3 linked regions of the Pelodiscus sinensis genome follow. The protein of the gene in region 2 interacts with the protein of the main gene of each other region in a biochemical or structural test. Links are inferred from orthologs where the notes say so. Each region holds a gene or a part of one and is shown on either strand. Other genes may lie near its edges. The genes, in order: NOXA1, NOXO1 and CYBA.

Region 1 (7,791 bases), on a different chromosome or scaffold from region 2:
ACAGCTAAAAACTGTTTTGCGCAAGAAAGCCCCGATGGTGAAAATGGCGATCGGGGCTTTCTTGCGCAAAACCGTGTCTAGATTGGCACGGATGCTTTTCCGCAAAAAGTGCTTTTGCGGAAAAGCGTCCGTGCCAATCTAGATGCTCTTTTCCACAAGTGCTTTTAACGGAAAAACTTTTCCATTAAAAGCATTTGCGGAAAATCATGCCAGTCTAGACGTAACCGTGGTGTTGAGGAGAGGGTGGATATGGAGTAGAGAATGGAAAGATTCCTCACCATACACAGAAAAGTCAGTGTTCCTGTTTATATTAAACCCACTGCTAGGCCTACTTTCCAAACGAGAAAAGGGAGCCACTGCATAGCTGTGGTAAACTTAGTTCATGGGAGTGGTTGTCAAATCAGAACCCCATCCTGGGCTCTATCTCAGCTCTGGGATCTAGCGGGTTACAGCAGAGGCAGATACATTTGGGTTCCATATAAAGAACATCAGAATGGCCATACTGGGTAAGACCAATTTTCCATCTAACCCAATATCCTTTCTGCCAACAGTGGTCAATGCCAGGTGCTTCAGAAGGCATGAACAAGTCAGGGAATCATCAAATGATCCATCCCCTGTTGCCCATTCCCAGCTTCTGGAAAAAGTAATAGAAACTCGGGACACCATCCCTGCCCATTCTGGCTAGTAGCCATTGAGGGACCTATCTCCTTGAACTTATTTTGTTCTTATTGGAACCCTGTTATAGTTTGATCCTTTTCACTACCTCCCGGCAAACAGTTCCACAGGTTGAGCATGAAGAGAGAACTTGTTTTGCTTGTTTTAAATCTGTTGCCTATAAATTTCACTGGGTGAGTTTCTTGTGTTATGTCAGTGAAGGAATAAATAACATTTCCTTATTCTATGTTTCCACACCATTTATGATTTTCTAGATCTCTAACATATCCCCCGACCCATCAGTCATTTATTTTCAAGCTGAAAAGACCCGGTCTTGTTAATATCTCCTCATAAGGAATTCCATCCTCCTACACATTTTTCTGTCTTAATCTCTACCCCTTTCTTAACAATTCCCAACATTCTGTTAGCTTTTTTGACTGCTTCTGCAAACTGAGTGGATGTTTTCAGAGAACTATCCACAGTGACTCTAAGATCTCTCTCTTAATCGGTAACAGCTAATTTAGACTCCATCATTTTATATGTATAGTTGGGATTACATTTTCCAGTGTGCATTATTTTGCATGGTGAGACTAAAATAGTAATCCAAGTATCAGAGGGTTAGTCATGTTGGTTTGTATATGCAAAAATAATGAGAAGTCCTGTGGCACCTTAAAGAGTAACAGATTCATTTGGGCATAACTTTTCATGGGCAAAAACCCACTTCTTCAGATGCATGGAGTGGAAGTTACATAAATAATGAATAAATAAGTAATATTTATAAATAATGAAAATTTATGTCTGCCTCTGTAATTTCCACACCATGCATCTGAAGAAGTGAGTTTTTGCCCATGAAAGGTTATGCCCAATTAAATCTTTAAAGTGCCAGAGTGACCTAGGAGCACAGACTTGCTACTGGCTTGGTGTTATCTAATTACAGAACATACCACTAGTTTGGGGTGTCTGCACTTTTTTCTGACAGTCTGACCTGGGATTGGCCTCTCAGTTGTAACCCGCCCTGAGCGCTGTGGCAATTATATATATTTACTCTTAAAAGAGCCACTAGCAATTCGTGGGCACACTGGAAAAATTACCAAGATTTTTCCATGTAACAAATCTAAGATTTTTCAGTGATCAAGGTCATTACTGATGGAGGGTAGAGAAGAAACAAAACATAAGAAAAATGGCTTGTTCTCAGACTCTTAAGCAGGAATAGAATTAGATTTGTCAGGTAATCGTAAATTCCTCTGAAATATGTATTGTAAGGTTCATTCAGTAGCAAAGTATCATTTTCTGTTACCATAGCACAGATAGAATGGGTAATATAAATAATAGTAACTGGCGAATCTCCTAGGAAATACTATAATTGCAGATTTTCACGTTCCATTCAGAGTTGACTGTCCCTATTTTTCCCCAGAGAAAAGTAAACACAGAATATAAGATTCCCTTCCAGTATTTTTGACTTGCTTTACTCTCCTTTCATTTACTCACTTGCAAGGCTCCCTCGAGGTTCCCTGTTAAGAGATGCACACAGCCTATGTTGAAATAGATTCTGGAGGATGGCTCTTCAATACTGGAGAAGATTTTCAAGGCAGAGTCCCAGTCCCCCTTATCCGTAGCCAGAGTTCCTTCATGCCAGCCTCTCACTAAGTCTCGATATGCCATTTTGTCTCTGTAGACACAAAGAAACCAGATTCCTCTGAAAAGTCCTTCAGGGTCTGGCTGTCTTGGAAGCTGCCAAAAACCTCACCCAGTTCTTTACTGACAGCCAGGTGCACCTGCCTGGAATTCAGGGCTGACAAGGAAGTCTAGCAGCCTCTAAATCTTATTTTGCTGAAGATTCCCTTTATTACTCAATGGGTTCAGAAACACAACAATTTCAAGGAAATGAGCAAAAGTAGGAGGGGTCAACCTATCTACTGACAGAGAGAGACTGCTTAATCTCTGCTGACAGACAGAGAGTGGCACTTGGGTATAACTGAAAGCAGGCCTGGTCTCAAATCTGTATAAAGCAGTAAAACACAGATTTGTTCATCTGTTGCACTGCACGCTGAATATTTACTGTATGTCACAAAGAAAAGGTGCAATGTATAAAATCAGGTCCGAAGCACGTAGGGCCAGGTGCTCTCTGCGTGTTGTGCGATGAGGTGCTAAACTTTTGGGCAGTCAGAACCCCCATATTAATACAATCCAAAAACGTGAGCGCCAAAGGACGTGACACGGTGCCCAAAGCTTGACACAAAAATACATTTTAATTCCACATTTCCTCTCTCAAAACGCAGCCTTGTGCCGAGGGCTGGAACACGAGGGCTGCTGCGAAAGCCGAGCCAGGGCTTGCCAAGCCAGCGAGGCTGCGAGCGGCCGCAGTCAGCGCCCCACTGCCTGAGACCGGCCGGGACGGCGCCCGCAGCAAACCCGCCGCCTGGCCGCTAGGGGGCGCTGCAGCGGGCGTCACAGGGAACCCGCCGGGCTGCGGGGAAGGGTTTGGGCGCCGCACCGCAGAGCCCGCCTCTGCTTCCGGTTTCCGGCGTGTGTCAGGTGAGTGGCCGGGGCCGGGGCGTCGCCCTCGGGCAGCGGGTCCCAGCGGCCTGGCCCCGGGCCGCGCGATGGGACGGGCCCGCAGCGCCTCAGCGGGGCCGGGGACCGGCTGCCCGACCCTGCACGCGCCCCCAGCGTCTCGCGAGGGGTCACGTGGCGCGTGTCGGGGCGCCGCCCCCCCGAGTGGGGGCCCGAGGCCCGGGGAGACTCCCTGGGTCCCGCGCGCTGAGCCTGGCGGAAGTGCCCCTCCCCCTCCCGGCGTGTCCCGGTCCGGGGGGTGCGGGCTGCGCGGTCCGGCCGGGCTGATGGGCCTTCGTGTGCGAGCCGCTGGCAGCTCGCTGCAGTTCTCAGCGCGGCCGCTGGGTGTCGGGCTGGCGCTGCGGGATGGAACGTGCAGTTGGGTGTTGATGTAGCGTCCCGGCAATGGGGACTTTGACTTGCGATTGGTTCACAAACCTTTGACGTTAACGGGGCTTAACCCCTGACGCTCGCCCCATGACAAACGTTTTGCTGTGGCAAGTGCAAGTGTGAACGCTGTTTTGTCCGCAGGAGCACGCTCCTGGGCTGCGTCTAGACTGGCATGATTTTGTGCATACTGTCTGCCGACAGTGGCCAGCACCGGGTGCCCCGGAGAGGGTGGACCAAAGACAATGATCAAGCGATTTGTCTCCTGCCATCCCTCTCCAGCCTCTGACAGACAGAGGCCAAGGACACCATTGTATCCCCTGGCTAATAGCCTTTTATGGACCTAACCTCCATGAAATTATCTAGCTTCTCTTTAAACTCTCTTATAGTCCTAGCCGTCACAGCCTCCTCTGGCAAGGAGTTCCACAGGTTGACTATCCCTGAGCAGGAACTGAAACTGACCAGTGCCCCTCAATGCTGCAGGACCAACCCGGCAGTACCCCAGCTGGCCTCGATTCAGCTGCCGCTGAAACATCCCTGCTTATCCCTGAGCAGGAGCGTCAAAGTATTTGCACAAGAACCACTGACTTTTCTTGCGCAAATACTCACGGCCAGTCTAGACAGGTGGCAAGATTTTGCCAGCCTAGACGCACCCCTGCAGAAAAAGTGAAAGTCACTCTTGGGAGCTAGAAGTATTTTGCTGGTGAAAGTGTTGACCATGTTCACATGTGCTGACTTCCAGCTACAGGGCTGTGTCAACAGAGCCTTGTTGCTAAAAACTGCATAGTGTAGACAAAGCTGAGGTGTTAAAATGACACCCCTGTAAAAGACAAAAGTTTTGCTGACAAGAAGTATCAGTGTGAACAGCTCTTTGTCAACAGGAGCACTTTTGTTAAGAGTGAAAGTATTTTGTTGGCAAAAGAGCCAACAAATAGCAGCTACATTACAGCCATGATATTAGAAATCAGCAGTGACGCAGCCATGTTGCTAAAAGCTGTGTAGTGTAAACGAAGCCTTCTACAGCATCACAAAATGCTTTTGGGAAAGGAGAAAATGGAGCTTTCTAGTTGTGAGTTTAAAAAAGAAACTGCCTCAGGTGATAGCATTCCAATTACAGTAAAACTCCATTGGTCCGGCATCTGATGGTACGTGCTCTGGGCAGCCGGACCGTTGGAGCTGCTCTGTCCCCGGCTTCCCCGATTCAGCCACTGCTGAAACTGACCAGCGGCTGAATTGGGGAATCTGGGGGCAGAGCAGCTGGAATGCTGCCGGTAGGTCCCGTAGCACTGCCCCTCAGCGCTGCGGGACCAACCCGGCAGTACCCCAGCTGTCCTCGATTCAGCTGCCACTGAAACTGACCAGCGGCTGACTCCAGGAAGCCTGAGGCAGAACTGCTCTGCCCCGGGCTTCCCAGAGTCAGCCACTGGTCAGTTTCAGCAGCAGCCGACTTGGGGACGCCTGGGGCAGAGCAGCTGGGGTGCTGCCGGGTTGGTCCGGTAGTGCCGCCCCTTGGTGCTGTGGGACCAACCTGGCAGCACCCCAGCTGCTCTACCCCAGGCATCCCCAAGAGCAACTGAGGTGCTGCTGGGTTGATCTCGCAGCGCCAAGAGGCGGTGCTACCGGACCAACCCGGCAGCACCCCAGCTGCTCTGCTGCAGGCGTCCTGATTCAGCTGCTGCTGAAACTGACCAGCAGCGGCTGAATTGGGGACTCCTGGGGCAAAGCCGGACTATTGGAAGGGGGGGCTATGAGAGGTCTGGGGTGGCATCCCCCCACACCACCTTAGACCCCTCATAGCCCCCCCTTCCGATAGTCCGGCATATCTGATAATCCGGCATCCCTTGGGTCCTAAAGGTGCTGGATTATTGGAAGTTTACTGTAGTTGAGGCAGAATAAGTAAAATTGCTAACAGGCAGTGCTGTTGGGAATACTTTTGTGCTAATTGCAAGCTGCAGGGTTTAAATGGGAAGAGGCAGGCCTTGTCTACTCTAGCCCTTTTGGTGGTAAGGCTGTCGCAGGTATGAGAAACACACGCCTGACTGACTGAAATTTCACCAACCAAAGTGCTGGCGTGGACAAGTGCTATGTTGGCAAGATATGCTTTTCTGCCAACATAGCTAATGCAACTCTGGGTGGTTTAATTATGCCAACAGAAGAGCTCTCTCCCACTGGCAAAGAGCTGCTCCACGGGTGATGTTACAGCAGTATAGCTGTGGCAGTACAGCTGTGCCACTGTAAGAATTGTAGTGTAGATGTACCTATAGGCGTCCTTTAAGGTAGATGCAAAGAAGCTGTCCCTTTATAGAGCTTTTTTTTTATGAGCTATGTGGAAATTCCTCAGTAACAAACACATCTGCCCCATCTGATCAATGTATAAATTGTGGCCATGATAGTATTCTGTTACTGCTGAATTGTGTATGTAAGTGACTAGTGCAGTGCTTTACATTAATTTTAATGTGCCCTCATATCCAAGACTGGGAATAGCCATTCCCTCAGAGACTTCCATATGCAACAAAGATTTATCAGTCTCTAACAATTAAATTATTTTTTAATGCCATTGGTTCAGAGCTATGATTTTCATTAACAAGACATAGGTTTCAATGACATTTATTAGTAATAGTGCTTTATCCTTTTACATAATACTTCACATCTCAGAATACTTCACAATTTTCCTGCCAAGTACTCTAAACAAACCACTTTTTTACTCAGGGAAAATGACTTACTCATAAGCATACAACAGGTAACAGGACTTCTGATTCCCAATGGTTTTTATAAACATTTATGCCCAGGCAACAAGAAGATACTCCAATGCAAAGTGAAATACATCCCAAAAAATTCAATGTATGCCTGGGTGTAAATCCCTCTGACAATCCTTTGTAAATGGGGAGACAGAATCTGTAGTAACTGTATGCAGAAGTAGTGGCCATTTTTGATTTACCTGTTGCACAGGTAGTTTTATAATCGCTTTTTGTTGTAGTTCTATACATACAGGCTGAGTCTAGATTGGCATGATTTTCCGGAAATGCTTTTAATGGAAAAGTTTTCCGTTAAAAGCATTTTCAGAACAGAGCGTCTAGATTGGCACGGACGCTTTTGCGCAAAAGCACTTTTTGCAGAAAAGCGTCCGTGCCAATCTAGACGCGCTTTTCCGCAAAAAAGCCCCGATCGCCATTTCCGCGATTGGGGCTTTTTTGCGGAAAACAAATCTGAGCTGTCTACACTGGCCCTTTTGTGCAAAAGCTTTGTGCAAAAGGGACTTTTGCCTGAACGGGAGCAGAATAGTATTTCCGCAAAAAGCACTGATTTCTTACAGTAGGAAGTCAGTGCTTTTGCGGAAATTCAAGCGGCCAGTGTAGGCAGCTGGCAAGTTTTTCCGGAAAAGCGGCTGATTTTCTGGAAAAACTGGCCAGTCTAGATACAGCCACAGTAATTAAATAAAGGGTTTTTGTTACAAAAAAATTAATGGCTTTAATCTAAGTCATATTTTGTCTCATTTGACACTGTATCAGACTAACAGTCTGCAGAAAACTCTTAAGTTTAGAGGAGGAAAACTAAACCCCACAAAGTTGCACTTTGAAGCTTTTGCTTGTTTCTGTGCTCCAGAATGTTTTTTTCCGAAGACACTTAACAGTGTTTTAGTCCTTAAGATGAAGTGTGTTAAAGTTGAACTGCAAAGCTGAAATGAGCACAGGTCTTGGAAAAAATATTTTACTCCTATTCCTGAGAGAGTAGGATAGAGGTAGTGTCATCTGCCTCTCCCTTTTTACTTTGTGACTTTTGGGTTCTTTTTGTTACGACATCGTTTCTCAGATCTTTTTACAGTATGTGTAACATAATAATACAGAGTTTATCTGTAGACATCTCTATCACAATTGCACATAGCAGCTTCTCTCCATTATTCCCCCTTTAAAAAGAGGCTGATAGTACATGCCTGCTTCAGGTATGTGATAAGTTTAAGTAATATTTTCTGAAATGTTAGCACATTTTCTGAAATGTTAGCACAAAAATCTAAAATACTACACATATGCTAATAGAGGCCTCATTATCTGTAAAATTGAGTAGTTTAGGGGTTTACGCAATCTTTTTAATTGCTGTTTCATACAAAATTTGAAACCAAACTTTCTTAGGTTTTTTTTTCCATTTAGAAAGAATTGATATCCTGAGTATCAGCTTTAGGACATAAGTAGGGAATATAGC
Region 2 (7,535 bases):
GTCCCTGCCCTCCAACATCCATTTATCAAAGATTGAGCCCTATAGTGAAGTTGCCTAATGCCTGCCATTGTGAATGGGGGTGAGTTGGGGGTCAGGATTCCTGAGCCCCCAGCTCACGGACCTGCAAGGTTAGGAATAGAAACCTGGAATCCTGAGACTCACACTTCTTGCTCCACCAGCTGGAAAACCCTATTGCCCTGGTTCTTTTCTTCTGGAGAAAATATTTAGAACCCTAAACAAGGTAAGTTATAGCATTCAGTGTATGTGTGTACACACACACACACACACACACACACACACACACACACCCCACCAGTCTAAAACTCACTCCAATTCATACTCCGAACAAGAAAATGACCTGTCCACACAAGATCTACCTGTCACATCCTTGATTAACACTTCGACAACCTCCTCCTTGACAACGCTGAAGGGTCTGTTCTTGGTGTCTTTGGTTTCGTAGTCTTCAATGCAGCGGTAGCTTTGGGAGACCACTGGCTGAGTAATAGAGGGGGTCTGCTGCTTGGGCTGTTCTTTCTTTCCATCGCCCAGTTCTGACGGCATAATTATAATGCTGGAAAGTAAAGTTTGATATGGGTCTGTTCTGAAGCCGGGGGGCAGCCTGTATTTAGGATTCATCTGGGGAATAGGCGGTGGGGGAAATTCGCCCCTATGCAGAAGATCAGGACAAGGGGCAGGCATCATTTAAGTCTATAACATCTCAAAGCACTTAGCAAACATTCCCAACCATCGCTCTCCTCTCCAAAAAAAGTGGTTTTTATGGCACTTCATGGGTGGGATACAGGGGCACAGAGTTAGAGAGATTTGCTCAGTCACCCAGTGAAAAAGTGGCAAGAGTTGGAAATAAATCTCAGAAGTCCCTGGCTCCTTCCCTTCCCACTTAGCCCACGCTCTCAGCAAGATCTGCATTTCCACTTTGCAGGGTTTTGCAATGACCCTGCTGAATGGTAAGAATCGGAGAGGGCTACACACTGGTAGTTGGTATTAAATCATTAAACCCCTGACATTTGCTTTGCCTCCAAGCGGGCTTTCATGTAAAATAAAAACGGCCTCGTTTTTAGAATGGCCATAATTATTGTTTTGCTGTTTGCCAACTGACCCCCCCCCCACCCATCCTTTTACACAAGCCAGTCCTTAAGGTTTGAAAAGCAGTTGCTTGTACAGAATGAACAGGCAGGGAAGCAGCTAGTGTGTTGCTGATAGACGTTATTCCCAAGGAAACTACTCGCCCATTTCTAATTTCTGCTCTGTTGCACCCATGGTCTGAGTGAAACCAACAACAGCAAGAAAATGCAAGGTGTCCTGCAAAAGTGAGTGAGAGAATGGGGGGGGGGGAGAGAGAGAAAGGGATTGAGACACAAGGAGAACAGGAGGAAGAGCTAGGGGAAGCTTATCAGTGTTTTTATCATTCTTTGGCACTTCAGTCCTGCATTTCTAATTCGTTCAGGGTAGGTAACAAAATGGAAAACATTTTCCAGGAAAAAAAATCCTCCATATTTTAATATTGAAATTTCCCTCCCCCTGTTTCTGAAGCAGAAATGTGTGAAGCCAGGAAAATGCAGTTAGTCTGTACCTGTTTTCTGAAAAAGAAGGGTCTAAGTCTTGGGTTTGCGCTTTGAAAAACTGGATCACATCTTCGCCCTGCGAGATTTTTGCATCTGTTTTCAGCAGTTCCTGGGAGTAAGTCTCCAGCAGTTTCAATCTCTCCAGCGACCTGCTCGAATTCCTGTTCTTTCTCTGCATCAGTTTTGCATCTTTGATGTGACAGAAGCAAACCACCATTAGCAAAATACTGATTATAACGTGGTGCTGCCTGGTACACATTACCTTCTGTCTACACATCTCTGACTCCCACCTGAGTACTTCACATATAGAACTAGGATCAACGGCTACATATTTCTGTGTCTCATCATTTTCTATGCCTTGTGCTATTTTGTCGCAAGCCTAACTTTTGCCTTTGATCGTATATGGAAGCTGCACTGTATCGTGTTGCAAAGAGCTTGGATCAGTATTTGAACTGGAAACAAACCCACGGCCTTCCTTTTTTAACCCAACACTAGATACGTCTACACAGCAGTGTTATTTTGGAGTAACACAGTCAGCGTTTACACTACAAGCCGTTATTTTGACACTGTCGAAATAACCGCGAGCTGGAGGATTACTTACTCTGACTCCTGTAACCCTCATGGTATGAGGAGTCAGGGAAGTCAGAGGAGGAGTGCTCTTTCTCCGACTTCCTGCTGTGTAGCCAGCGCCACAAGCCGAAATAAGCTAGTTCAACTTAAGCTACGCAATTGACGCTGCTGAAGTTATGTCGTTGATTTCAGCTTTTGCCCCGCTGTGTAGATGTGCCCTGGTGTAAATCAGGACCAGTGACAGACCTCTACTCTTCTTTCCTTGACAGTTGCCTTCCCTCTAGTCCCTCCAGTCATTTTTGTTGGTCTGCGCTGCCTCTCTCCCATTTGTTAAATCCCCTTGCTTACCTTTAAACTTTGGAATGCTCCGATCAGATTTCTTCAGTAAGCCGCCTTCGATGGGGAATTTTCTCTTCAGTACTTTCTGAGTGACCAAAAGAGCAGGAAAGGAGAGGAAAAGAATGAGTATGGTGTTCCCACCTCCTAGTAACGGCAGCAACAAATTAACACCGGTTTGGAAAGCATCTCCGGGGAGCTGGTAACTTACATGGAATTTCTTAAACTCTTCAAAAGTCCTGTAGATGAGAACGTTGTTTCGATCGGACCAGGACACGGCCATCATGTACTTCTGAAAGAGAGGAAGATAAAGTTAGAGTCTTCCTGTCCCAGCTGATAACTTTGTGATCGCAACTTTGTTGTGGGCAAGCCGAAGTGCAAACCAAATGAAAAAGCTCTGAAGTTTCCTAATTTGCAGCGGTGGATATATGCACGGGAAAGAGACGCGGGTCAAAGTACCTTCTTTTTTTTGCACTGCATCAAGCCAACAGCTTTCACGTCAACAGGGTACCGGCTGCAGCTCATCTCTCCTGCAGGCTGACACTGTCTCCCTGCACGCTGGCTCCAACCTGTAGTCTGCTACGGCACCTGCCTTCCACAGACTAAATATTCAGGAGCAGGAGGGAGGGGCCCAGGCTGCTCCAGCCAGTCAGACTTAACTAAACAACCCATTTTTTGTTTCCTGCTCCACCCAGAAATGTACGAGGTCCAGAAATTCCAAGATCTGCCAATTCTGACATGCCTCTCGACTGACGGCATCGAGGGGCTCTCCCATGAGAAGCCAGGACAAGGGGCTGCTGAGATTGGCACGTGGAGTCGCTCACGGTGGGGAAAGGTTCCGCAACATTGCCTAGCTCATTGCGGACTGACAGAGAGCAAGGCAGCCCTTGGGGTGAGCTGGACGTCGTATACCTGGGCGACAAGTCCAGGGCTTCTTTGGGACACAGACCAGACTGACTGGAGAATTCGAACAGGTGGCCAAGGGAAAGTGGCCCTGGGAAGGCAGAAGTGCAACTGGTACTTGCTCCCTGCATGGGGGGCACATGGTGCCCGGGGACACACATCTGGGGCATTTAGACACAGAGGGCTGGAGGGGGTTATTGCCAGGCCTGGGTATAATTTGCAGGGTGGTAGCTGTGTCAGTGCTGGGGTGAGGGAATATCAGCTATAGACCAACTTCTGTGGATGGAAGAGAGAAACTTTTGAGGTGCTGCCTGGAGATCATATCTCTTTCACCCCCAGAAATTGGTCCAGTGACTGATATTACCTCACCCACCTTTCTTGGATGGTGATAGGCCAGAGGCTGGGCAGCCTTCCTACACACACACCAGTGTCTCAGGCTTGACCTAGGGAGAGGGGCCGGCAGAGGCTCCACACCTGGCCCGTTACAGGAGCTGCCTGTGTAGCCCGCGCCCCCACTGAGTGTGGTTCCCCATCCCAGGCAGCGGCGCCGAGAGCACGTACACAGAGAGAGAAGGAGTCTGCTCTACAGCCTGAGCTCAGCGCCAGCTTTCAGCTCAAGTGGTAGCGGCTCAGGCACTAAGTTCCGGAGGGCCCAGGTTCGGTTCCGCCTGTCGGCGCTGTGCCTGCAGTCACGCCATCTCGCGCGGTACTCTGCTCCCAGATCCCTTACACTCACCAGGGCCGAGGAAACCCCGGGCCCGCCAGGAACTAGCCCTGGAGTTTCAGCAGGTGGGGTTCTTCCCTTGGCCGGTGTTGAACCAAAGCCCTCGTCACCTTCGGGCTGAGCAAGGCCTAATACTGAGGGCCTGACTACAGAGCCCAGGAGGTACTTTCTAACCAGGAAAGATGTTCACGCCTGGCCAGAGCCCAACGGGGCCGAGTCTGGTTCCCTGGCATTTGCAGCTGACTTGGTGGTTCACCTTCTGCCTAAGCTACGCTTGGTGTCAGGGCAGTGGCTGACCTCAGGTTCCCAAAGGAGGGAGCTGAGGGTGATACATGGCGGTTCTCCACAAGGAAGTGCCCATGGCTGCCGGGCTAACAATGGAAGAAGGGCAAGACCCCACGCAGGGCCAGGAACAGGCGCGAGGCCAAACACCCGAAGGAGCACAGCGGAGAGCCCAGAGCGGGGCCAGGAACAGGCAAGAGGTCGAACACCCAAAGGAGGGCAGCGGAGAGCCCAGAGCGGGGCCAGGAACACCTGGAGGGCAGCGGAGAGCCCCGAGCCGGGCCAGGAACAGGCGAGAGGTTGAACACCCAAAGGAGGGCAGCGGAGAGCCCCGAGCGGGGCCAGGAACAGGTGAGAGGTCGAACACCCAAAGGAGGGCAGCGGAGAGCCCAGAGCGGGGCCAGGAACAGGTGAGAGGTTGAACACCCAAAGGAGGGCAGCGGAGAGCCCAGAGCGGGGCCAGGAACAGGTGAGAGGTTGAACACCCAAAGGAGGGCAGCGGAGAGCCCAGAGCGGGGCCAGGAACAGGTGAGAGGTCGAACACCCAAAGGAGGGCAGTGGAGAGCCCAGAGCGGGGCCAGGAACACCCGGAGGGCAGCGGAGAGCCCAGAGCAGGGCCAGGAACAGGCGAGAGGTTGAACACCCAAAGGAGGGCAGCGGAGAGCCCCGAGCGGGGCCAGGCACACGGCTAGCCCCAGGAGGGTGACTGTCACTTCCCGGTGGTTCGTGAGGTAATCGCCCATTCGGCAAGCCGTGACCAGACACCAGAGCGCCAGCGGCCACCCACAGGAGAGAAGTGACACGCAGCCTCCGCCACCCTGGGCCCGTACAGAGCTGGTGAGTCAGAGGTAAAATGCCCCATAACTCACCCCTGCTCCCTCAGGCACCCACCGCCCTGCAGGGGAGGGGCTTCTGGGGGGACTCGGTGTTGTCTGAGGCACCTGAAGGGCAGAGCAGGGCAACAGGAATCCGAGCAGCAGAGCGGTTATTACAAGAGGTGACCTATGTCCCCGCCGCCTCTGCAGCCCCGAGGTAGTTACAGCTCCGAAGCCTGGCCTTGCAGGATTTACTGAGCCCTAACCTGCCTCGGGCTCGGAGCTGGCTGAGTGCTTGGCCCGGGCTCACACCTCTTTCCCGATCCAACGTCAGGCACACAGAGTTTGGCTGGTTCTGCACACCAGAGTGAACGCCGGAGGCGGACGCGCTTCCCCGCCCTCCTCCCGTGTTATGCCCCAGGCCTGTGGAATTTCCTAAACCCAGCCACGAGACGGTGGATTTTCCTCTGTGCAAAGATCCCCCTTGCTCCTGCTCCCACGGGAGGCCAGGCTCTCAGTGTAGCCCCGGGGAGCAGAACAGGGATGGCTGGAGAAAGAGAGAACAGGTGGAATTGCCGGGACTGACGTGGTTCGGCCAAGTCCCCCTCCACCCAGTGGAGACCCAGTGGAATAGGGCGGCCATTGAGGTACCTCGATAATACAGGACAGTTGCATTTTGTGCAGAAGAGCCCAGGGCAGGGAGTTGTGGGGGTTCAGGAGTCAGGGCGGGGCAAAGGGGCATTTTGAGAGGGCGAGGGGGGGGAACTGCAGCCGCCCACACCAGGTCGCTGCTGCTCTTCTTCCTCTGGCTCTCAGGGAGGGAGGGGAAAGTGCACAGCCTGCTGCATGCTCCTCTGGCCTCCCCTCGGCAGCTGGGAGAGGCAGGCCCAAGCTGAACACTGCCCCATGCTCCCTGAGAGTCGGGAAGAGGACGAACCGCTGCAGCCCCCCGCCCTCCCGGGGAGGGAGGCAAGGAGCACTCCCGGACAGGGGAGCACACCCCCAGCCAGCCCCTTTCACCTGCCTGGCTACCTGCTGCTTAGCAAGGCACCTGCAGGAAAGACCTGGGAGCCCGGCTGGGAGTAGCTGCTGCCGAGCGCCCGGGCAGCTTGCTTCTTCTTGCCGGAGCTCCGCACAGGGGCACACGAGCTTCCTTTCCACCTCTGCTCTCAAGAGCGACACGGAGGCCATAAAGGCGCCCTCTTCCGTCTTAATGGAGGGCAGAGTAGCAAACCCAGCACTGCCCCCTATAAAAGAGGACGGACGGCACCTCCCAGTGAGGTCCGGTGCAGAGCTGGCGGGACGGGCAGGCCGCAACTGGCAGCACTCCCTCACGGGGTGACCCGTGGCCACGCCCAGAGGGCTCCGGCTTGGGCAGGCGGGCCAGGCTATGTCACCTCCCACCCGCTAGCTCGCCATGCTCCCCTGGGGGTGCCGGAATGATGCCTATGGAGCCGCTTTTCCCCCTCGGCTCACTCCCTTCCTCTGCAGAGAGCCCCCGGCATCATCTCTCCTCCAGGGCTGCGTGCCTGGACCGGCCCTGTGGTTTTCCTGGAAGCAGAGACACATCCTCATAGCTGAGACTGGCCAGGAGCGGCTCCCTCATTCCCTCAGGCTGTTCTGGGCCTGGTCTGGGTGTGCAGACGGCGGGAGGGGAGGGAGGACAGAGCGTGGGGCTTGGCTCCGGCCCCTCTCTGCCTCCCTGCTGCACAGAGCCAGCAGCCTGCCCTGCAAAGGGGGTAGTGCCCGCAGCTGCCCGGGCTGGCATGGCATCTGAGAGCTCAGGCTGCCGGCCCAGAAACCCGAGGGTCATTCTAGGGGCTGCCGCAGGCTGCCATGGCTGAGGAGTTGGCACAAGGAACAGTGACGTGCCAGGCCCGAGGGAGCTCTGGGCAGGACCAGCGACTCCAGGAGAGGAACAAGGGGAGAGGGGGAGTCTGGCCAGAGAACACTGTATCCCTTTCCTCGCCGTGCTCTTCCCATTGGTCCTCCACTGCCCCAGTCCGGGCCTGGCCCATCCTCCCCAGACACCTCGAGGTATCAGCTCCCACAGAGTCTAACAATGAGAGAGCCCTGGGAGGCCATTGTGCCCAGACAACGGGAGAGGAGGGCAGCGGAGGGGTGGCAATGAAGCGGCCACCCCTTTGTGGGGAAAGCATGCTCCACACCCCATTGATCTTGCTGCTAGCAGCATTCCCTTTGCACATTTTCAGCCCCCTACCCAGCCTCGGGAAGCCACTTGTCCCCCCGACCACGCCAGGGCGTCCCGAGCCTGCCGATGTGAGGGACTCTCGCCCTTTTCAATCAGCTGCACTTTTGTGC
Region 3 (7,234 bases), on a different chromosome or scaffold from region 2:
TTTGCACTTGCAGGGATAGTGGCAGGCACACACTAATTAGGCGCCAATCACTAATTAGGCAGCTCCCCAGCTGGCACGGGTAAGGGTTCCAAGTGCTACGACCGCGCCTGCCTCGGGCCACAGGTCGGATGCTACGTGATGGATGGAGGAGCCTTCTCACCAGACAGCCTGGTCCATCCATGCCTTGCGTCTGGCCAAAAGCCGCTGGCGTTGGGACAGGTTCCCAGACCTGCCGGACCCACCCCGATCCAGGCGGGCGATTGCTAACGCTTGGGCACGGGCATAGGACTTGCCAGCAGCTGCGCGTTTTGCTTACAGCGTTGCACATTCCCGTTTATAAACCGGCCATTTGCGGGTTTGCGCTTCCGGCAGGTGCTGGCCTGTTTCTCCCCAGCTCCCTCGCTCTGCGCGCGTCCCCATTGCAGAGCTGGCAGGAGAGCCAGGGTAGGTCCACCCTGCAATGGGGGAGCGTCCCACAGTGGGCGGCGGTGGCTAGCTTAGAGGGAGCCAGCTCAGTGAAAATAGCAGCGTGGCCGCAGCATGAGGGAGGTGCCGCAGAATGTACCGGGGGGGCTAGCGCATGGCACCCCCTTGTTGTTCAGACACACTGCTATGGCCAGACGACACGCCTGCCGTTCCGCCCGCCGCCAATAGCCCAGAGCCATCCAAGCCAGCAGGAGTTTTGCCAACGACTTCAGTAGGCCCCGAATTTCACGCCCAAGGGACAGTATTTCGGGCTACCAGTCTGAACCCTCACTGCCAGCAAGGGGGCCAGGCTGAGGGTGGATTCGGAGACGACCAGCTGTCCATAGGAACTAGGCCGCAATGCAGCGATGGGCCACCCAGGCTAGCGAGCCAGCCGCACAAGCAGCATCCGCCATCTCAGGGCGCTGCAAGATGTTGCACCCAACCCAGTGTCCCGGGCGAGGGCGGTTTTACTCCCTGCGCTGGCGTACCTAAAACGTGTGGGCGGTGCCGACTGAACCGTAGCGGCGCTGTGATTGGACGCAGAGGGAGCGCACAGCCAATCAGCGCACACCTCACTTCACACCTCCTTGCTTTACATGCGCGTCACTTTAGTAATACAGGTGGAACCTCCCTAGTCCCAACCAGAGAATACAGGTGCCGAACCAGAGAGTCTGCCAGGAGGTCAGTATTGTCTGGCAGCATGACCAGCCCTGCCACTGCTTGCTGGGCTCTGAGAAGACACTGAGGGGTAAATCAGAGCTAAATCACAGCACAGCCCAACTTTATGGGACCGCGGGAAACTTGGCCACACCCACGATAAGTGGACAACTAAAGTCATGCCGGACCACGGATGCTGCTGGACCAGAGAGCGCCAGACTAAAGAAGTAGAAAAAAACAACTGTGGATGGAAAACCAGTGGAATCTGGCAACCCTGCGCACAGGCATGGGTAACAAAAGGTCTCACGGGCCACACCTAGAACTCCGGCAGACTCCAGGTTGCCCCCTGTCACCATGTCACCCGGTGGTGACAGTCACCTGACGGTACCAACGCCCAGTCACAAGCAGCAAAAGGCTCCCTTCCTGCCATCTCATTCCTCTCTTCCCGCCAGCCCCGCCCCCGCAACACCCACTGTGTCCTGATTCCAGCGTCGGCGAGTCCCAGCGACACAACCGGCTACAATCGAGAGATTTTCCTCGCTGGATGCCAGCTAAAGCAAAGTTTGCAACCAGGTCATGGCTGGGGCGGGGGAGAGGGACCTGCATGTCACAAATCCATGGGGGATCCTAGCTCCTTCTCTGGAAGAAGAGACGCCTGCACAAACTCTTCCCAGCGGCAGAGCTGTGGGTCAAGCGGAGGCCTGGCTCCCTGTTGCAGAGTCGCTATGTCCCTGGGGGAGGCCGCGTGGACGCTGTCAGCCCTGTGTGCGGATATTTATTTCCCTTCCTGCACGATCCTAGTTGCAAGCGCTTTAGACGGGGGTAACGGCCTTCGCACGGGGGGCGGCACGGTACAAAGCAGCACAGCTCCCTGGTGTGAACAGGGCCCCGTGCACTCCGGTGTCGCTACAGAAGCGAAGCTGGTGGCGCAAGCAGCGAACCCACCCTGCGGTGGGAGTTTTCGTGGCCCTGTTATTACCAGATGCTATCAGGCCAATGGCAGCGCCTCCTTAAGCAAGAGGCCTCAGAGAAAAACAGCCCCGCTGTTTCCTTCCCCATTTCAGTCTTTCACTTCCTCAACCCTGGCCCAACCACTGCCCGAATGGCCAGCGCTGCCCTGCGGCCCCTGCTGCCCAGGCCCCCCGGGCGGGGGGTGGGGAGTCTTCAGCGAGGATCTTGCAATTTGGGACCTGTGAGGGGTGGGCTTTGCTCAGACCCCACGACCCAGAGAGGAGCCTTCCCTTGGCCCCCCAGTGCCAATGATCCTGGGACAGGCAGGCAGCCACTTCCAACCTCCTCTTGAGCCCTGCACCCCCCTCCCCAGCGCCTACCAGGCCAGCCCTCGTCCACCAGCACCCCCCTGCTCCCCCCTCCCCCAGCTCCCCTCCCTCCTCCTCAGCTCCCCTCCCTACCCCCTACCCCTGCTCCCCTCCCTACCCCCAGGTCCCCTTCCTCCTCCTCAGCTCCCCTTTCTACCCCCCTCCCCCAGCTCCCCTTCCTAGCCTCCTGCTCCCCCCTCCTCCTCAGCTCCCCTTCCTACCCCCAGCTCCCCTCCCTCCTCCTCAGCTCCCCTTCCTACCCCCTTGCTCCCCCTCCCCCAGCTCCCCTTCCTACCCCCTGCTCCCCCTCCCCCAGCTCCCCTTCCTATCCTCCTGCTCCCCCCTCCCCCAGCTCCCCTCCCTACCCCCCTTCCTCCTCAGCTCCCCTCCCTACCCTCTCCCCCTGCTCCCCTTCCTTCTTCCCCGCCCCACTCACTGAGCCCGGACGCCAGCGCCTGCTCGTTAGCCCACATGGCCCACTCGATGCGCCCCATGGCTGCGCTCTGGCTGCACCAGCGGCAGCCCGGGGACCCACTGCGCCCCGGCCCGGCCCGGCCCCGCTGCTGGCCCCGCCCTGGGGCAGCGGGCCGCCCAGCGGCGGGCGGGGCTCTCGGGGCCGGGCCGGGGAGCCGCACACGGAACCTCCCTCCCCCGGCGGCAGCGGGCCCGGGGCGCCGCCGGCTCCGCCGCCCGCCCCCTCCCCCTCCCCGCCGGCGGGGGCAGCGCTCAGCCGGCACGCGGGGAAACTGAGGCACGGGAGCGCAGCGGCCTCCGGCTGCCAGCCAGGAGCCGGGGTCAGGGAGGCTCCTTCCTCTGCAGCTGCAGGGCTGGGTCAGGCGGGTGCTTGGCTGGGCTGCTTCTCAGCGGCTTCCCGCCCTGCCGAGGACCCTGCGCAGGGTCAGGCAGGAACACCGTGGGCAGGGGTCAGTGCCAGGCTTATGGTGTCACCCCTCCGCTGTAGGACACTTGTGGGGTGCTGAGCGGAGGGGGGGGGTCCCTTCTGCTACGAAAATGCTAAGCCTGGATGAGCCACGGGGACTCTTGGCATCAGTGGTAGGGCTGGGAACAGGATCCTGGAGTGGCAGGGCCTTGCTCTCAACAAGGTTAAAGCTGGGGAAACTGAGGCACCGAGCCATCAGGACCTGTCCCCAGTCGCACAGCATGGCAGGGGCAGAGCGGGGGTGGTGGGTAGCATAGGCAAGGGAAGGCAAACGGACTATGCTCCCCACTGGGGCCAAGCCTGGCAACCCCAGTCCTCTGGCTGGCCAGGAACGATCCCGCTCAGCCGTGCGGTTGGGCTGGGCTGCACGGAGCGGTGGGGGGAGGAAGGCTGCTGAAAGGGCAGGGACTTGCCTTCCCGAGCTGGGCCTTCGCCCGCCACCCCTGCTAAGGCAGGGCTACCAAAGAGGGTGGAGAACAAGAGGACGGCGGCCGTGTGCCAGCAGCAGAGCCCGGCCCTGTGGGGGCAGCAGGCTCCCCGGCCCAACCTGGCCTGAAATGCTTTCCCCCTGCCTGGGGCTTGGCAACCGCAGCTGAAGGGGTGACAGCTGCCATCAGTTGGTGAGGAAATCAATCAGTTTCCTCACCTCACCGCTGTGGGTTCTTGGCCTGCAGCAGGCTGCACCCATCTCCCCTCCCCCTAGGGCCCAGTGCACCCTTTGCCTTATCCCCCAAACAGCTTCCTGCCTCCTCCCTTCCGAGCTCCCCCACTTTCCTCCTGGTCCAGCAAGCTCTCCCCCACCTAGGCCTGCAAACCGGGGCCCACCCCTTAGCTCAGCGGCCACCAACCAGTACAGCGGGACCTACTGATGGAGCTTGGCGCCTCTGACAGGTTTGGCCAAGAGATTGTCGAGCTCAGCACTTCAGCTCCCTCCCCCGCCACCCCCAAGCCTGTGGCACAGCTGCTCTTTGCTTTGCAGCTTCCTACCTGCACCCCCGAGAGCCTCCTGCTTTCTATGCAGGGCAGCGGAGGGAGAAGAGGGGTGCTGATGTCAAGTTGCCCCCTCTCCGACCCTGTATCCTGTCTCCACAGAGCAGAGAGGGGCACTACAGGGTTTGGGATGGAGGGAGTTTGCTGGCTACCTTTGGGAGGGGTGCAGGGCCAGGGCAGGGATGACCCTGCCTTAGCCCCACTGCACCACTGCCCAGGAGCCACCTGTGGTAAGCCCACACCCTGAAACTCTACTCCAGTCATGAACCCCCTCCTGCACCCTAAGCTCCTGCCCTGGCCCGGAGCACCCTTGCACGCCCAGAGCCTGCCCCTAGAACCCCCTTCGGCACCCTAATTGCCTGCCCCAGCCTGATGAAAGTGAAGGGGGGGGGGGGATGGAGTAGGGGCGGGGCTTCAGAGAAGGGGCATAAAGGAGGCGGGGCCAGAGTGGTTGGTAGACCTTGAGTTGCACTTACATTTCATAAGTGATCTCTTGCTTTAAGAGGTTGGAGACCCCTGCCTTAGGCTTTTCCTCCAACCCAAGAGGGGGCTGGACCCCCATCTCACACCTTACCCCCATGGCTCCCCATCCCTCCTGAACGGGCAGCACTATTGCCATAGTAACCTTCCCTCTGGCACTTCCCCCAGACTGGGGCTTTCAGGATCAAACCAGGCCCTAGTGGGAACAGCTGGGTGGGAAGGGACTGCAGCAGCCAAGACATTAAATGAGCTCTAGGCTTAAAAAAATACTCAGCCAACCAGGCAGCCTGTAGCCACACTCACCCTGAGTAAGCAAGCACTGGCAACAGCCCAGCTACCACCAGTGTGTCCCACCAGAGAGAAGCTGCTATTCAGGTGCAAGTAACTGCAGGATGGTTGGGTGGGACATCAGGAAAAGATGCTGCATAAAGCCACTCGCACTGCTGGATACTACAGGCCTTCCATTTCACATGCACTAGGGGCTGGATTTGCACTAGCGATCACACCTCTGAAATGCAGCTGCCTCTGGGGCGGAACACTGCAGCTGTTGCACAGCACCACCCTTCCAATAGGAAGAGGGAGGTACTTTAATTGGGGAAGTGACAAATCACTCCGCACCATGGAGCTGCATATGGGAATGGGAGGTAGGCAAAGAATATCTGGAATTTGCCGAACACCTGGGGGCTTGACTCCTGATGTTTGCTGAAGTAACTCCCCAGTCCTATGTGCATGGTTAGTGCCGGTCATGGGATGCAGGAATTTCACCTGCCTCATTCCAGCCTCTTCAGGAACGACACCCTCTTCCCAGCCCCTACCTGTGGGGGTTGTGCGGCCCTGTAGCAAATCAGAGGGAAGTAGGGCAGGATGTAATGTCACAAACGACCAGACGCGTGTCGGTCCAGAGAGTTCCATTCATGGGCATTTACACTTCAAACCAATCAGGAAGCTGGGCTTTTCAAACAGACTGCTAGTGCTGGATTTTTAAAAACCAGAGTAGCAGGGGGGAGGAGAGAAGAGACAGGAATGCAGCGCCAGCTGGGTAAGGGACAGGTAAGAAAGAGCCTTTCATCTCTAGGTCAGCCCACATCAGGCCACCCCAGGCAAGCCAAGGGCCGCCAGCATCATGGAGCTGTTCCCAGCCAATGCTGGCGAGTCGCAGTCCTCTTCCTAGCAGAGACGTCGCCTCATAGCGCCTGCCCTCCTCGGTTGGCAGACCAGAGCCGGGAGAGGCCCTGGCCCGTGGGCAAAGGCACTGTGGGTAGCGCTGGAGGCTGGCACTGGCCCAGCTGCATACATTCTGCGAGGGGGCTTTGGTCAGCCCATTACTCTTCCCCCACAATCCCCAACTCCCCATGGCCAAGCCCCGAACGCCTCTCGTGCGTGCCAGCCACGGAACCAGCGTAGCCCCGGCCCAGGTTCCCCGCTCCCAGAAGCGTCTCGTTCCACGTCTGCCGGGCGGCTGCTCAGGCACTGGGACGGGGAAGCCCATCCGCTCCCAGCAGATGCAGGCCGGGATCATCCAGCAGCTGAGGACCTGGGCCTGGCTGTGGAGGAATAAAGCCAGTTAGAGGGAAGAGGGCTGTTAGGACCCCAGCGCTAGTGCTGTGAGTACAGCAGAGGCTGCAGCCAGCACTAAACAGCTGACCAAGTGCCTTGTGCATGGGGAAATTGAGACACCCTCTGAGCATCCTGCTGTCCAAGGGAGGGCAGGTCAAGGGTCTGCCCCTGGGCACCAGCCTGCCCCTGCTCCCCAGCCCTCCTCTCTGGCTGTAACCCCGGGGTGCCCAGGGACAGCTTGCATCACACAAGCTTGGAAGCACTGCGAAGAGAGGAAAGTGATGAGGAACAGGCAAGAGGTGGCTGGAAAGCTGGCAAGCTTGTCGGACCCAGCGGGTAATGACCAATGGCTCGATGTCAGATTGGCGGTCGGTTTCTAGCGGAGTGCCCCAAGGATCTGTTCTAGGTCTGCTTTTGTTCAACATCTGCATTAATGACCTGGAGGAGGGGATGCATTGCACCCTCAGCATGTTTGCAGGTGATACTAAGCTGGGGGAGAGGTAGAGACACTGGAGGGCAGAGATGAGGGCCACAGTGTCCTACACACATTGGAGGCTTAGGCCAAAAGAAATCTGATGAGGTTGAACAAGGACAAGTGTAGAGTCCTGCACTTGGGACGGAAGAATCCCAAGCCTTGTTACAGGCTGGGGACCGACTGGCTAAGTAGCAGTTCAGCCGAAAAGGACCTGGGGTTACAGTGGATGAGAAGCTGGAGATGAGTCAACAGGGCGCCCTTGTAGCCAAGAAGGCTAATGGCATATTGGGGTGCATTAGTAGGAGCATTGACAGCAGATCCACAGAAGCGATTATTCCCCTTTATTCT

The links.
Region 1: the proteins of NOXO1 (region 2) and NOXA1 form a complex in vitro, tested with the Homo sapiens proteins (2 studies listed by IntAct). The link is inferred for Pelodiscus sinensis from reciprocal best matches to the Homo sapiens genes NOXO1 and NOXA1.
Region 3: the proteins of NOXO1 (region 2) and CYBA form a complex in vitro, tested with the Homo sapiens proteins (3 studies listed by IntAct). The link is inferred for Pelodiscus sinensis from reciprocal best matches to the Homo sapiens genes NOXO1 and CYBA.

The regions. Positions count from the first base shown.
Region 1 is NC_134732.1:857,875-865,665, reverse strand, and holds the start of NOXA1 (NADPH oxidase activator 1), read right to left. Parts: upstream 3,002-7,791; 5' UTR 2,317-3,001; coding exon 2,143-2,316; intron 1-2,142.
Region 2 is NC_134726.1:37,631,081-37,638,615, forward strand, and holds the start of NOXO1 (NADPH oxidase organizer 1), read right to left. Parts: upstream 3,085-7,535; 5' UTR 3,015-3,084; coding exon 2,949-3,014; intron 2,782-2,948; coding exon 2,701-2,781; intron 2,578-2,700; coding exon 2,502-2,577; intron 1,773-2,501; coding exon 1,592-1,772; intron 572-1,591; coding exon 378-571; intron 1-377. UniProt on the Homo sapiens protein: Constitutively potentiates the superoxide-generating activity of NOX1 and NOX3 and is required for the biogenesis of otoconia/otolith, which are crystalline structures of the inner ear involved in the perception of gravity.
Region 3 is NC_134722.1:3,824,731-3,831,964, reverse strand, and holds the start of CYBA (cytochrome b-245 light chain), read right to left. Parts: upstream 3,042-7,234; 5' UTR 2,939-3,041; coding exon 2,881-2,938; intron 1-2,880. Other genes in the region: MVD (diphosphomevalonate decarboxylase), read right to left, coding at 6,318-6,398. UniProt on the Homo sapiens protein: Subunit of NADPH oxidase complexes that is required for the NADPH oxidase activity that generates, in various cell types, superoxide from molecular oxygen utilizing NADPH as an electron donor.